Linked DNA regions of Caenorhabditis elegans. The gene in region 2 interacts genetically with the main gene of each other region. Each region holds a gene or a part of one and is shown on either strand. Other genes may lie near its edges.

Region 1 (8,035 bases), on a different chromosome or scaffold from region 2:
TCGATCTAGCTGCCTGCAAACGCGGCGTTTTCGGTGTGCACATAGCGATCGATATAGAATCACATACACAACCAGGTTTCTGGGAAGATCTCTCTCTCTCCTCCCTCTCCTCTCTCTCTCTCTCTGGGGAGACTATATAGATTGGTGTCGCTCTCCTTTGAGTAGTTGACCACTGTTGTCTGCAAATCTGCCTGTGGGAAGACGTATTATTGAAAAAGCAAAAGAGGTTGCCAGGAAAACGCGATGAGCTTCTTTTGAGAAATACACAACTTCGATGTTAATTTAGAAAATGCAGGAACTTTTAATAGAAAAATAACAACTTTTAAAATGTTACAGCAGGTTTACATTTTTAATGTTCAGGGCAAATTTCAATTCTTAGAGCTGGAAAAATTATTAAAATGGTACAAAATTTTGATAAAGAAATGGTTCAGTTGTTGTGTACATTAAAAATTGTCACAATGAATCACAATGAAGCTGTGAAAATATTTATTTACTTCAAATTTTTTATAGAAATCAAATTTAAATGATATCAACATTATGAAGATTAACATAACCAGTCATTGGGAATGTTTCCATATTATTTGGATGATTTGCAAACGGAGTATCAGAAACATTTCCAAATAGGTTCTTAATTGTTTTCCAAGCTTCCGATTTGCTAACCTCTACCAATTTATTCTCAACTAAATTCTAGAATATCAACTGTCAAAATGTCATTCGAAAAATCCAAAAAGTGTCCTTTATAATGTGAGGAAAGAGACACAGATATCTGCTTCTTTTCACATTTTTCACCGCGAAAGACTTTCGAACATTCACAAATTGGTTTTGGATTTGAATAAATGCAAACTCCACCATTCTCACATGAGACTGTAAACTTGCTTTAACCAATACTTTATAAATTATTTTGGCGTCAGAAAAATTTAAAAAATTAAACAACAAAAGAATACCGCATTAAAGCGGCAATGGCTTGAAGATCATACACTTCAAAGATAGTTAAAAAGAAGGTGCAGAGAGAAAACGAAGATCGAAGAAATGGTGGTAATTAAATTATGAATTATTGAGTAATTAATCGAAAGCAGCAAGAGTGAAGGAGTCAACAAGCTCAGCTGGTTTTGTTTGCCATTTTCCGAGTCCCGCAGCCTCGAGCTGAAAATTAATATTATGAAGAAGAAGACGAAGAAAAGAAGAAAATAAAACACCAACCTTTTCATAGAACACTTTCTTCTCATACTGGTATTCAGACGCCATCTCTTTCGCCTTCGCATAATTCACAACGGCCTGGTCGACTCCGTTCAATTTACGATACGCCTCAAAGATTTCAGCTTTACAAACTCGCGATGGGGATCCCTTTGAAGTGCGTCCAGTATTGTAATCCAGAGTTTCAACAGAATCCACTCCACGGTGCCAGAGATGAGATATGCCCATATGCATTCTCATTTGCACAGGCATACTCTCCACAATGATCTCTCGTTCATTTTCGTTTGGTCCAAGGCGTCCTTGCAAAGCATAACTGAGTGATTCATCAGAGACTGGAGCTTCTGAGCCGAAGAAGATGTTATCAATGAAAATTGGATGAAGAACATTGGAGAGGAGAGCGCCTTGAATTCCCAAAGTGTTCCATTTGAATAGTTTATCCGCAGTGCAATGAACTCGAAGGGACTTCGTTTCCTTAATTTGTTCGTAGGTAAGCACATCGTCTGGTACACATGTCAGATTTGTTGGCCTGAAAATGGTGAAATAGTTTTTGCAGAAACTAAAATTCTATTAAACTCACGTTACATATGACAACTTCTTAGTTGCAGCATCATCGACTGCATGAATGCATGGTGGCGAGTAGTTGGAATAGAGAACAAGCCGGAGATTCGGCTTTAAGGCAGCTTTTCCCTCTTCCTTTTTCTCGAAAATTGAACATTCTGAATCAACGGTGCTAAGTTCATGGATAAATGCCTTCAACATTGCTCTGCGGGCAAGAATAATAGCATCCAAATGAAGTAGAGATGTTCCATTGGCTCCACTGAGAGTATCTGGTTCGACTATATATTGTATAGATGAACCCATTGCAAGAACACGCTTCTCTTCTTGAGCATTGACCAATAGGAAACTGAAAGTTGAATAAATTTCTTTTGAAAATAATGTTTGAAAACTTACGCAGCAAACAAATTGCTGGGAGGTATTTGATAGTATTCAGTCATCTGGTGGTATTCTCTCTTACAAAATTCTGCGATATGTCTGCATAATGGAGAAACCTTTGACTCGGTCATAGCACGACTTGTCAATGCAAGTGGATAGTTGCCGGCTGGATCATAGTCAATTTTGAAAAGCTTCTTCAGAGCTTGCATTGCCGCTTCACTTTTAGCCAGTTTTTTCGAACGACCAACGCCAATGTACCGATCGGTTTCATCGATTACGCATTCACAACTGAAAATTTTCAATTAAAACAGCCTCATAAAATATTTTCAAAAAAGGATTCTGAAATTGTACTTCACTTACTAGAATGTCGTTGTAGCCTGTCCAGCAACTGGAGGTACATTGTCCTTGAATTCATAGGCAATCTTGCACTTCTGTTTCGTCTGCTTGTTGAGCATCGCGTGGAGAAGAGCACACGGTCCCTGACTGCTGACAGCATCTGTTTTCACACAGGAAGATGGATCTATTGCAAAATAGTTTTTTAGTGTTTCTTGCGCGACCCAGTCTTTGGCCATTGCTTTGGAAGCGAGTGATGAGGACTTGACTTCAAATTTCAAATCATTCTCTGAAAAAATTGAAAAACTGTTCTAAATCTGAGATTCTAGTAAAAATACCATTGTGATCAATAATTGTGCATTTTGCCATGAAATATGCTCTTCCGATACCAAGTGGTCTGTCTTCTGCTGGCTCACATTCAATAGTAAGAGTGCAATTTAAAATTGAGCAAATGGTATTGAGACATTGAAGGATTGTCGTATCGTGTCCAAGACGATTACTTGCATGTCTACGGGCAACAGTGGTGATGTCGGCATGTGACACGTTGAACAAGTCACGAAGAGCTTCACGAATGACCATATCTTTCAAAACTCCACGACTTGGTCCCATCTTTGTATATTGTTTATTTTGCTCCACGAATTTCAAAGTGACATTATGCATGGTCTCATTTTTGCGCCAACCACTCTTCTTTTCATTGGCAACGTTTTCTCCATTTGTATCCACTTCTTCTTTTTTGACTTCGACTTCGGGAATCTCTGGATCTTTTGGAACCTCCGAAGCTTCGAAAACTGGTGAATACTTCTCGGCAGACTCAGCAATTATTTTTTGCATTAGATCTAGCAACGAAAGCGCAGATTCAACAGGTGTCAACTGGAGCTTGAGAATTTATAAGTACAGCTTTTGAAAATTTGAATTTTACCTTTGCTTTCTTAACAGCGGAGACCTTTTTCGGTGTCGGTTGATTTGAAATAGCATCAGCCTGAAGCAACTAATATAAAACTTATTAAAACCAATTGTAGTTCGAACGTACATTTCTCTTGTTGTTCTGCCCATTTCCAGAAGCGGCATCGATTTCCTTTTTCACTGGAGCCGCTGCTTTTGCTGCTACACCTTCTTCAAATGGTGTTACATGAACATCCGGACGAAGATCGCGAACAACAAGTTCCGAACATTTTTGTTTCGCTGCTTTCTTGTTGACTGATTCCATTTGAAAAGTGCGTCCGTTTACTTTCAATGTGCAGCAATACTTTTTCGGAACGCCCTCAACCTCAGTGTACCTGAAAAAGTTCAATAATTTGATTGCCTTTCTAATAAATTCAATAACTTACTCTTCAGAAACATCCTTGAACAGCTCATGAAGCAACATCGCTGGGCTTTTCCCAGTCGAATCAAACTTTTTGGGAGCAGCTGGACCCTTGGGCTTATTTTGCTGAAATAAAAACGTTATTGCAATATAAAATAAAAATAATTTCCCACCCTCCAATTTGGTTTGTTTTGGTTGAATGGACCGCCTTTTTGATTGTTAAAAAAACGATTTCCCTGTGGGCCACCCATTTGGTTTTGCGACATTGGTTGCACCCACTCCTGACTCAAAGCGTGCCCTCCGCCAAACGCACCGAAATTGTTGTTACGAATTGCAGATGGTTTTGGAGCACCGCCTTGTTGTCCGTATTTCTGTATCAGTTTCTCACATTAGAAATTCCAAATTGTGATAATTTTTAGAAAACGCTTCTGTTCTTTCAATTAAAAATAAACTATTAGTTTCAACTGGAGCTGTTCTTTAAATTAAAAATAAATATACCTTCTGTGGGAAGGTTTGTGCTCTCTGTTGTTGTTGCATGAATGTTGAAATTGGGTTCATGGCTGCATAAGTATTCTGAGCTTGTTGTTGAGCCTGTTGTTGCTGCTGCTGCTGTTGTTGGCTGACATATTGTGGGAACTGAAAAAAAATAATTGTATTTTCTTCCGAAATTGTTAGTTTTTATCATACCGTGTGGGTAGCCAGCGAGGCAGCGGACTCTGGTTGGCTCCATTGACTTGCCCAGTTGTAATTATTGGTCTGGAAAATTGAAAAATTAATTAAGCAAAATTTTCTAAGCTTTTGAGATAATTCAGCTTAGTGATTTTTTGTATTAGAAAGTTTTTGATATTGTTTTTTAGCTGAAGGATCTCAAACCTTAGGTTTTGCTAATTTGATACGATTTAAGATACAGAAATAAACAATTTTAAGCTAATTTTTGAAAATATCACCGAGAGGATCCAACCCTGGATGATATAAATTTTAATTTATAATAATCATCCAGAAATGCATCTATAACAAAACTTAATTATTGCAAAGTGAGAAAAAGTTCATTTGTATTAGGCAGATGAACTTATTGACACTGTAAACGTCAACAAATGTATTAATTGTCGATGCATACGACAACGCCAAACTATTTGGGGTTCTTCCAATATTTTTAATTGCTTTAAAGCTGGAGTGAATCCTACTTGAGTTTTAATTTGTATTGGATTTCACTCCAACTCTAATCGAGTACCCACAAAAGTTTAGAGTTAACGTACGGAATCGCTGGTGTGATCAGTGCCAGAGCCATAGGCCTGTCCATAACCGAAGTTGTAGTTAGGATTTTGATCCATTTCGTAGTCAAATAAATTACCTGCAGAAAAAATGATGACTAGCAATCGTATGAAGTTTTCGAGAAAAGATTCACACTATTGAAAGTCGTGACATTACCCGGCACAAAAAAACATTTCGAACCGGACAATGAAATTACACGAGAAATAAGAGGGAAGCAGTAAGATCACAGAGTATGCCGCATTGGGAATAATGACAAACTCCACGTTCTTAAGTAGACACAAAATACATTACAATATAGAGGAAATATGCCGAGAGTAGGAAATAAACATACTATTCAGTTGTTCTTTTAAGCAATAGAAGCAACTAAATAGCTAGTTGAAAGACTTCGTGTAGCATTGAGAACAAAAAACACATTCAGAAGAGAAAAGCAAATAATTTTAGGCCCTCTAATTCTAAAAATCCTAGACTAAAAAGGAATGAAAATTATAAAACGTCAAGAACAAAATGGCTTATGACTGAGATATAATGCTCCTCTCAATATGCTATAATTATTGATTAACTGAATTTCCCATAAACTGACATTGCTTTCAATGTTTTGAAACAAAAAGGGCTGTTGCATTGTGAGAATAACACTATTTTTCTATTGAAATTGACAGAAACTAAGCGAATTGTACATTTCAGTGATACATTTACAATTGCGGAACGAAATAATAAGCGAGAACGCAGCAAAAAATGAGCCGAATCGTTGAGCGCGGAACGCGTCGCATTCGAAAAGTCGATAGTTCCATGGAGCGCATTTGCTCTACTGACACGTCACGGAATCTGTGAATAAAGTTTGAAAGAAATGCGTTCAATGCCGAAAACGAAAACTTCGCTCACATTTTAAGTGAGAAAGAATAGCAGCTAAATTGTTATAAATATTCTAAAACATAGTGTTAAAGGATTTTAACTACTTTTCATAATTCTGTTTCGCCCGACTCACACAATTCAAAAATTGAAGTGGTCTCATAATACACGTTTCCCGGATTTTCATGAGTTTTTAAGATTTTATTTGCAATTTAATATTTCTAATCTGCTGTTTTTATCACAAATGCGAAAAATATAAAGTTTCTGATGCTTAAATATTGATTTCGTCAAAATATTTTTTGTAAAACCACATCAGCTGCTAAATAATAAATTCTTTTTATTTTTTTTTTAAAGTTCATATTATTTGTCCAGTTACAATTTATTAGTTGCGAAATTCATATGCAACGTGTCCTTGGACGAGTTTTCAGTCAGACATTTTCTCATGAGTCCAGTCCCGTGTTTAAGCACATGTTGCTGTTTTAGGAAAATCGTGGTAAATAATTGTGTTTCAATGCTCATTATTCGTTTGATCGTTTCTCTTTTAATTCTTTATTTATTGAAGATCAGGACTGTATTTATTCTCTTTCAAAATTGTTAATTTTCAGGAATATTCTACAATGTCGTGGTTTCGGAAATCAGCAAACGACTCACTACTGGAGACAAATCACGGTTTCGTTTTGTTTTATTGGGAACTGTGCTTTCAAACTTTTAACTAACGTTTACTAATAAGTAATATGGATGAACTTGAACTGGAATTTTCTTAAAATCAGGGTTTTATTTGAACATTTAACATTTTTAAATTCGTTAAAATTTTATTCATGACGGTTTGACATGACTTAATTTTTTTCCAGTTCTAGCCACTCCATATTATTTTAATGTTTACTTGCATGAATATTTGAGAAATACCAAAAGTTGCTCATCATTTCTTAGTTTGCTTCTTTCTCCATCATCAAAAAGTCCACCCTTTTCACTTCCTCCCCTCCCATTTTCCGGCTCTTTTTTCACGTATCTCCCCCATCCGTCTGTCCTCTTCTCCAACTCTTCGTGTCTTTTCATGCCCAAAGTCCTACATCGATTTGCGCAGGAAAAAGCCTCCGAGTGCCGAAACAACGTCTTCTTCTTCTTCGTATTTTTCTTGTTTTCAACGCACTGCTCCTCTCGTTCTGCAGTTTTTGTTAGCATCTTCCCCATCTCTTCGTATTTTTTTGCTTCTCATTTCCGTTTTCTCTCCATTTACTTCTTTCGGCCTCTTTTCGGTCCTCCGCTTTTTGTTTTCTGTTTTGATGCCATTATTCCCACGTTATTCTGGAGAACATTTCCATAAACCAAGGAAAGTCATGAATTACTGAAATAATGACAGGATAAGCTGTTTCTTCAGTTTTATCCGAAACAATTCAAACCTTAATACTTTGAAAATTTAATTATTAAATTCAGTGTAATCAAACCCCTGAAATCTGACTCTTTCTCACTTTCGGTATCCTAAAAATGAAAATTGTGTCTGCCCGATTTTTCCTTCGTTTTGTCTGTTATCAGATTATATGTCCCAGCGCGCATGCGTTTTCTAATAGAGTTACATTATTTTTTGTCTAGAGCTTCATGAGAAAAAAACTAAAAATTCTAAAATAAATTTCCTTTCATGTTTCATGCCCATTAATCTAAAAATTACGTTTCGGTCCTTTCCTTTAGAAAAATGGCTCAAAAACCTCCAAATGCATGCTTTTCGCCAAGAAATCGGAGCCGCCACAAACGGCGCGACTTCCACTCAATTTTTCTCCGTTTTCCGAATAATTTTGTGTGCATTTGTGTGTGTCTCGTTGAGGGTGGACGTGTCCATGTATTCGAATTCAATTTTCCTCCTACCATGTTTGTGCTTTCCAATCAGCTCCGTCCACTTTATGGTGTAGCGTTAAATTATAGGATAGAATGGACACTGAGACTTCCTTCCGCAGTTCCTGGGTGAACTTTTTGGAATCTCTTGAGACAATTAACGGTTAAACTTATCTAAGAACGAGTTCGAACATTATCTGGTCTTATTCATCTATGGGTTCTTTTCAGGCCTTTTCTAAAAAACTTAATTTTTTTGTTTTTCTATATTTCGGAAAACCAAAAAAGTCGAAAGCTAATGCGATGCCTCAATTCTCCAAAAAAAAAAGA
Region 2 (5,266 bases):
GTTTGGATTGATGTAGAAAAATTTGAAAATCAGTTATAATATATTTGCCTTAACTTTGAAAGTCAAATAAGATAATAATTAGTGCCTCAAACACTATCGATCGATGAAAGAGTCAATGTGAAATAAACTGTTGCAAAAATATATTCAAAAAAAAACAACTAGAAATATAAAATGGTTATGTGAATATCACAAAGTACGATCGAATACAGATAGAAGTAAACCATCAGTTTTTTGAAAGAAAAATATGATATATTTAATATGGGGGCAATCCGAAGTCCTCTGGCTTAAACTGTTCCAAACTATTCAAAATCACAGTCACACGATTTTTGAATTCTGGGTCTGAATCGGGGTCGAAAATCGATCGTTCTGGAACCATCACACATTGCATTCCAGCATCGAGTGCCGACAAGACACCATTGTACGAATCTTCAAATACAAGAACTTTGTCCGCCGATTCTGGAACTTGTGGGAATCGTTTCATAGTCACCAAAAATGGATCTGGGTGTGGTTTTCCGTGTTTCACTTCAGGATCATCTCCCGATAAAACTTGCAACTTGATCATGTTCACCCAATCTTTGTGGTTATCCAATTTCGTTGGAAATGTGCGACTACACGATCCAGTACACAATGCAACTGGAACTCCGGTATGAAGAAGGTGACGAACCAGTTTCTCAGCTCCAGGCATCGCAGGACTCCTTTTGAACATTTCGATGAGAAGTTCATCGTATTGACGTGAATACTCTTCCGGTGTCACAAGATCGCCGATTTTCAGTTCGTTGATTAGCCATCGGATCGATTCATCATGGCGTTTTCCCATTTGCCCTGAAATTTATATTAAAATAAAAATATTTCTGATATTTCTTCTCACTTCTCTTCAAATCCATTGTGAAAACGTGTCCATATTTTCTCAAAAGCTCCATATTCGCTTCCGTGTATGCAGATTCTGTGTCGACGAGAAGACCGTCAAAATCGAAAATCACATGGGTCACTGATGCAGGCATCTGGAAATTTCTATAAAAACATATTTATTCCAGTTTTCGTTTCCTTAAATAATATTCAACTCCGAGATAAGTAACTCGAATCACTGAAAATTGTAAGTCCAAAAAATAAAAGATTAACAATTAATTAATGCAGAAATTAAGAGTTAACAGCTAAAATGGAATGAATACACGATGCTGCATGAGATTTTTAAAAGTGGAACCACATTGAACTTTTGATACAATAAAGGTAAAATTGCATTGATTAATTTATAGTAAACATTTGAAATTCTCGTGGCTTTCGTTGCCAAATTCCGAGATCCTTCTGTCGCAGCCAGGTAATGAACGACTTTTTTGCAGCAGCGTATTCTTGAGATCCAGCTTTGAGTTCTTCGTATGAGATTGGATAATCCACAGAAGTCTTTGTCAACGTGCAGATCTGAAATAGAAGGAATTGTTGAGTTTCACACTCAAAACATCAAGAAAATTATTTTTATTTTCCCCCAGCTTACAGTAATCATCAGTTCTGCCATATTTTTTTTACACAATCTGGATGGAGTCGTGATGTCAGCCCCGCTCATATCCTTATCATGAACCATTCCATCCGATGTTCGTACAACTTCTGTATTTCCATCAGCCAAGTTCCAATTCATCGAACTAATCGTGGATCGTGCTGCTGCAGAAGTTGATTGCTCAGTATCTTCCACTTGACACTCTCCGATTTCCACGTCTTGAACATGGAATGGAGCTGGAGGTTTGAAGGTGGCTGCTCTGCTGTAAACTGCTTTACGGAGACGATCTGCATTGTTCAACTCGGCAACGGCGATTGACGAGTAATAGATCTGAAAATCAAGATCTCATGTTATACTAATCAGGTTAAACTAACTGGATCGATGAAATGTGATAATATTGCTCCTTGGACACCCAGTACATTTGCTCGAAGCAATTTATCAGAGCAAGACATTGTCCTCATTCGTTCTCCCATCATGATTCCATCAAATGTTTGTGGAGCTTCAAACTCAGAAGCACCACCGAGCACTGTGCCCATACCTTTATCAATTTTGAATCGAAGACGAGAAGAATTTTGAAGGTCATCTGATGTTCCGGGTTTTAGCTTTTTCTGAAAATAATTCAAATGAAGAATTTACAAAAATTAATACTTGAAAAGTTACATCTATTCTCGCAACTCCACATGGTGCGGTGTTTATGAATAAATGGAAAGAAATTCCTGGCTTCAGCACCAATGCGTTCTTTCCTTTTGTAAAAATTGAATTGGGTGGCTCTGTAGAGAACTTTAGAACTTCGGAATACAAAAATCTCAGAAGGCCTCTTCTTGCGAGAATTTCAGCATGACAATCTATGAGAGCTGTTCCATCGTTTACAATTTTGTCTCCGCGTAATCCCTTGTTTCCAGTGGAGAGAGCAATGATTTGGAGGTTTCCATTGATTTTCAGGAAAACAGAAGCGATCACTTTTTCGAATCCATAGATTAAGGCGTTGTTCTTACAAAGTCTAAAATGATAATAAAAGGGATACATTCACTATGAATTATTTTTTCCACTGACTCATAAAATTTCGCGTATGTATGTTCTCTGAGCATCTCGAAAAATGTGGTTTTCTCCTCAAATTTGACAGCAGGCACAACGTATTCGCTAACATGCTTGAGCACGACTTCCAGTCCTTTCAATGAGCACGACACCTTTGCCTCTTTCTTTTTGGATTTTACATTTCCCTCGATTCGTTCTCCATTTAAAATTACAACACATATAAATTTCATGGATCCGTTCGGTTGGTTTCTGTTATAGAAATCAAAAACTGGAGTGTTGCCTGTCATATGAACATAAAGCTCTGAGAATAATGACATTGGATTCTTTCCGCTTCTTTCCACAGTTTCCTTCACAAAGTCGGGAATATTGTCATCCAAATCCATTTTCTCTGACTTTAACTCAACTTCCATACCTTCTTCGACGGACATCTGAATTACGAATAATTTTTGGAACAAAAAGTCCACATGAGGAAATGTGTAACAGTTTTACCTTGAGATATCGAAAAAACAATAGAGCAACATCGACTAGTGAACGATATTTAAGAAAAACATAGAGAAAACATAAAAGTATATAACATATTTTGTTTTTCATCTACAATTCGGAAGTTATCAGAAAAGGGGAACAAATACTAAAACCTCAAAATTAAAAATAAATCATCTGACAACAGAAAACGGAAAAGCGAAAAAGCTACGAAAAAATCAGGTATTTTAAAATGTTCTCTTCTCATTTCCCACAATTCGTATTATCTTAACGATAAAGATATTCGGCTTGAAGATTGGAAGCGAGCTCAGGCTCCCAGCGATCACCATTCAACAAGAGCTTCTCCTTATTATAGAGGAGTTCTTCGTGAGTTTCAGTCGAATATTCGAAGTTCGGGCCCTCGACAATTGCATCGACTGGGCAAGCTTCCTGGCATAATCCACAATAGATGCACTTGGTCATATCGATATCGTATCTAGTGGTACGGCGACTTCCGTCAGGTCTTGTTTCGGCCTCGATCGTGATAGCTTGAGCTGGGCAAATGGCTTCGCAAAGCTTGCAAGCAATGCATCTTTCTTCACCAGACGGGTATCGACGAAGAGCGTGTTCTCCTCTAAAATACTGATTTTTTTGTTAATAATTTTTGTTTTTTTTTAAATTAACTAAATAATTAATATTTTTAATTAAAGAATTTTCGAATATGTGTCGTGTGAAGGTGCAAGTTTGTTCAGTTTTTTGAAAACTATTAAAATACAACCAAAATATGCTTATTTTCTTCCAAGCTGATTATAACAAATGCTTTATGATTTAATTTCAATTTTTAATTTCTGTACCTGAATCTTGAACTGAGTGGTCCCTTTTCGAAGGGATAGTTGATAGTAGCTGGCTCCATGAATACGTGACCAAGCATCACTCCGAAACCTGAAAAATTGACATTTTTCCTTCACACAGTATACTTCAAAATAATTTTGATTCAAATTTAGTTTAAAATTACCTCTGAAAAGTTCGGTGAAGAAAACATTGTGAAGCCCGTAATTCAAATCTCCAGCCAGTGTTCCATCGGTTTCATTGGGCATACCAACGAATTTGTAGTTGGATCTCTTTTGAATTGTGTTGGAAGGAACACTGCTGACGGCAAGCTAAATAATTGATTATTTGAAACGTATATTTGAATGAGAAAATCTCACTTGAGCCGGAATTCTTCCAAACATGCCTTTTGTGAGCACTGCCACACTTTTCATCGCCATTTTGACAGCGTGGTTAAGTTACTGAAAAACGTATTATTGATAGACTACATTTAATTTAATTGGAATGAAGTGTTTATAATAGAAAAACATTGATAAATATAAAATTGAACACGAAAAAATATTAAAAAAGCGAGAAAGACGCAAACATGTCCTGCAGGTGCACGAGAAACGCGCCAACGATGAACCAAGGGCGCAACTTCTGCGTTCCAACAAAGTTTAATTCCCAAATATCTATTTAAATACTTTTAGCCTTTCAATTTATATATTTTATATTGTTATTATGTTTAAATATTTGTCAAATAACATAATTTTATCGTTTAGTGTTTCTAAGCACGCTTATTGTCACAATAATTTTACTTTAATGCTTTGTTTCTTGAGAAATTAGGAAAACTGTTCTCAAGTTTGCTTCCGAATATTTGTTTCTCAATTTACTTCTCATAAATATATATTCTCGGGTCGCTGCGCTCCCCCGAGAAAAGGTTTTCCCTTGTTCCTAGCTCCGTTCGAGAGAAATGAGGTACGAGAAAAGGAGGAAATTGAGTTACAGAATTTATGGGCTTTGCGTGTGGTACAGGTCGTGACAAAAGTAGAAAATTAGGGGCAGTTGGGCGCCAGGCGCCCAACTTGAACGATATGAGGGCCACGAACGGTATAAATTGGGGAAATTTAATGTGCTGACGCCGTCGTGAAGAGCCCGATCGTTCGATGTTGCCGACATGATGTTGACTGTGCAGGAGCTGCTGGTGTTGCTGATGGAGCCGACTGTGCTGAAGTACGTGCTGCAAAAACGAAAAAGGACGGACCGAAAGTACTTATTATTGGTTAAGGTGGCAAAAGAGGTAAAATGGTAAACCAACGTGAATCGATAATCCTGGCAACTCCTGTAGATCTGATACTTGAAGCTCGTCTGCTGCCCAAACAAGGATCGTCGCTTCTCAACCCTCTGTTTTCGCGTTCCACCCACGTGCGAACAATCCGAAATTTCCCTAAATCCTTGACAAGAGCCCGCGAGATC

Evidence for each region.
Region 1: of adr-2 (region 2) and adr-1, changing one enhances a phenotype caused by changing the other (phenotypic enhancement), as found in Caenorhabditis elegans (one study listed by BioGRID).

What each region holds. Positions count from the first base shown.
Region 1 is NC_003279.8:7,770,497-7,778,531, reverse strand, and holds adr-1 (A-to-I RNA editing regulator adr-1), read right to left. Parts: upstream 5,115-8,035; 5' UTR 5,095-5,114; coding exon 5,020-5,094; intron 4,520-5,019; coding exon 4,451-4,519; intron 4,400-4,450; coding exon 4,262-4,399; coding exon of another isoform or gene 4,241-4,261; intron 4,135-4,240; coding exon 3,937-4,134; intron 3,890-3,936; coding exon 3,789-3,889; intron 3,738-3,788; coding exon 3,491-3,737; intron 3,449-3,490; coding exon 3,380-3,448; intron 3,337-3,379; coding exon 2,799-3,336; intron 2,750-2,798; coding exon 2,488-2,749; intron 2,416-2,487; coding exon 2,146-2,415; intron 2,099-2,145; coding exon 1,772-2,098; intron 1,721-1,771; coding exon 1,201-1,720; coding exon of another isoform or gene 1,144-1,200; coding exon 1,063-1,143; 3' UTR 877-1,062; downstream 1-876. Other genes in the region: nsf-1 (Vesicle-fusing ATPase), read left to right, coding at 6,324-6,374, 6,487-6,550.
Region 2 is NC_003281.10:7,229,931-7,235,196, forward strand, and holds adr-2 (Double-stranded RNA-specific adenosine deaminase adr-2), read right to left. Parts: upstream 2,953-5,266; coding exon 2,543-2,952; intron 2,490-2,542; coding exon 2,150-2,489; intron 2,098-2,149; coding exon 1,864-2,097; intron 1,820-1,863; coding exon 1,490-1,819; intron 1,417-1,489; coding exon 1,243-1,416; 3' UTR 1,109-1,242; downstream 1-1,108. Other genes in the region: R151.10 (uncharacterized protein), read right to left, coding at 254-822, 869-1,001; ndus-8 (putative NADH dehydrogenase [ubiquinone] iron-sulfur protein 8, mitochondrial), read right to left, coding at 3,272-3,617, 3,838-3,925, 3,999-4,143, 4,192-4,251. UniProt on the Caenorhabditis elegans protein: Catalyzes the hydrolytic deamination of adenosine to inosine in double-stranded RNA (dsRNA) referred to as A-to-I RNA editing. Acts primarily on non-coding regions of protein-coding genes including introns and untranslated regions (UTR).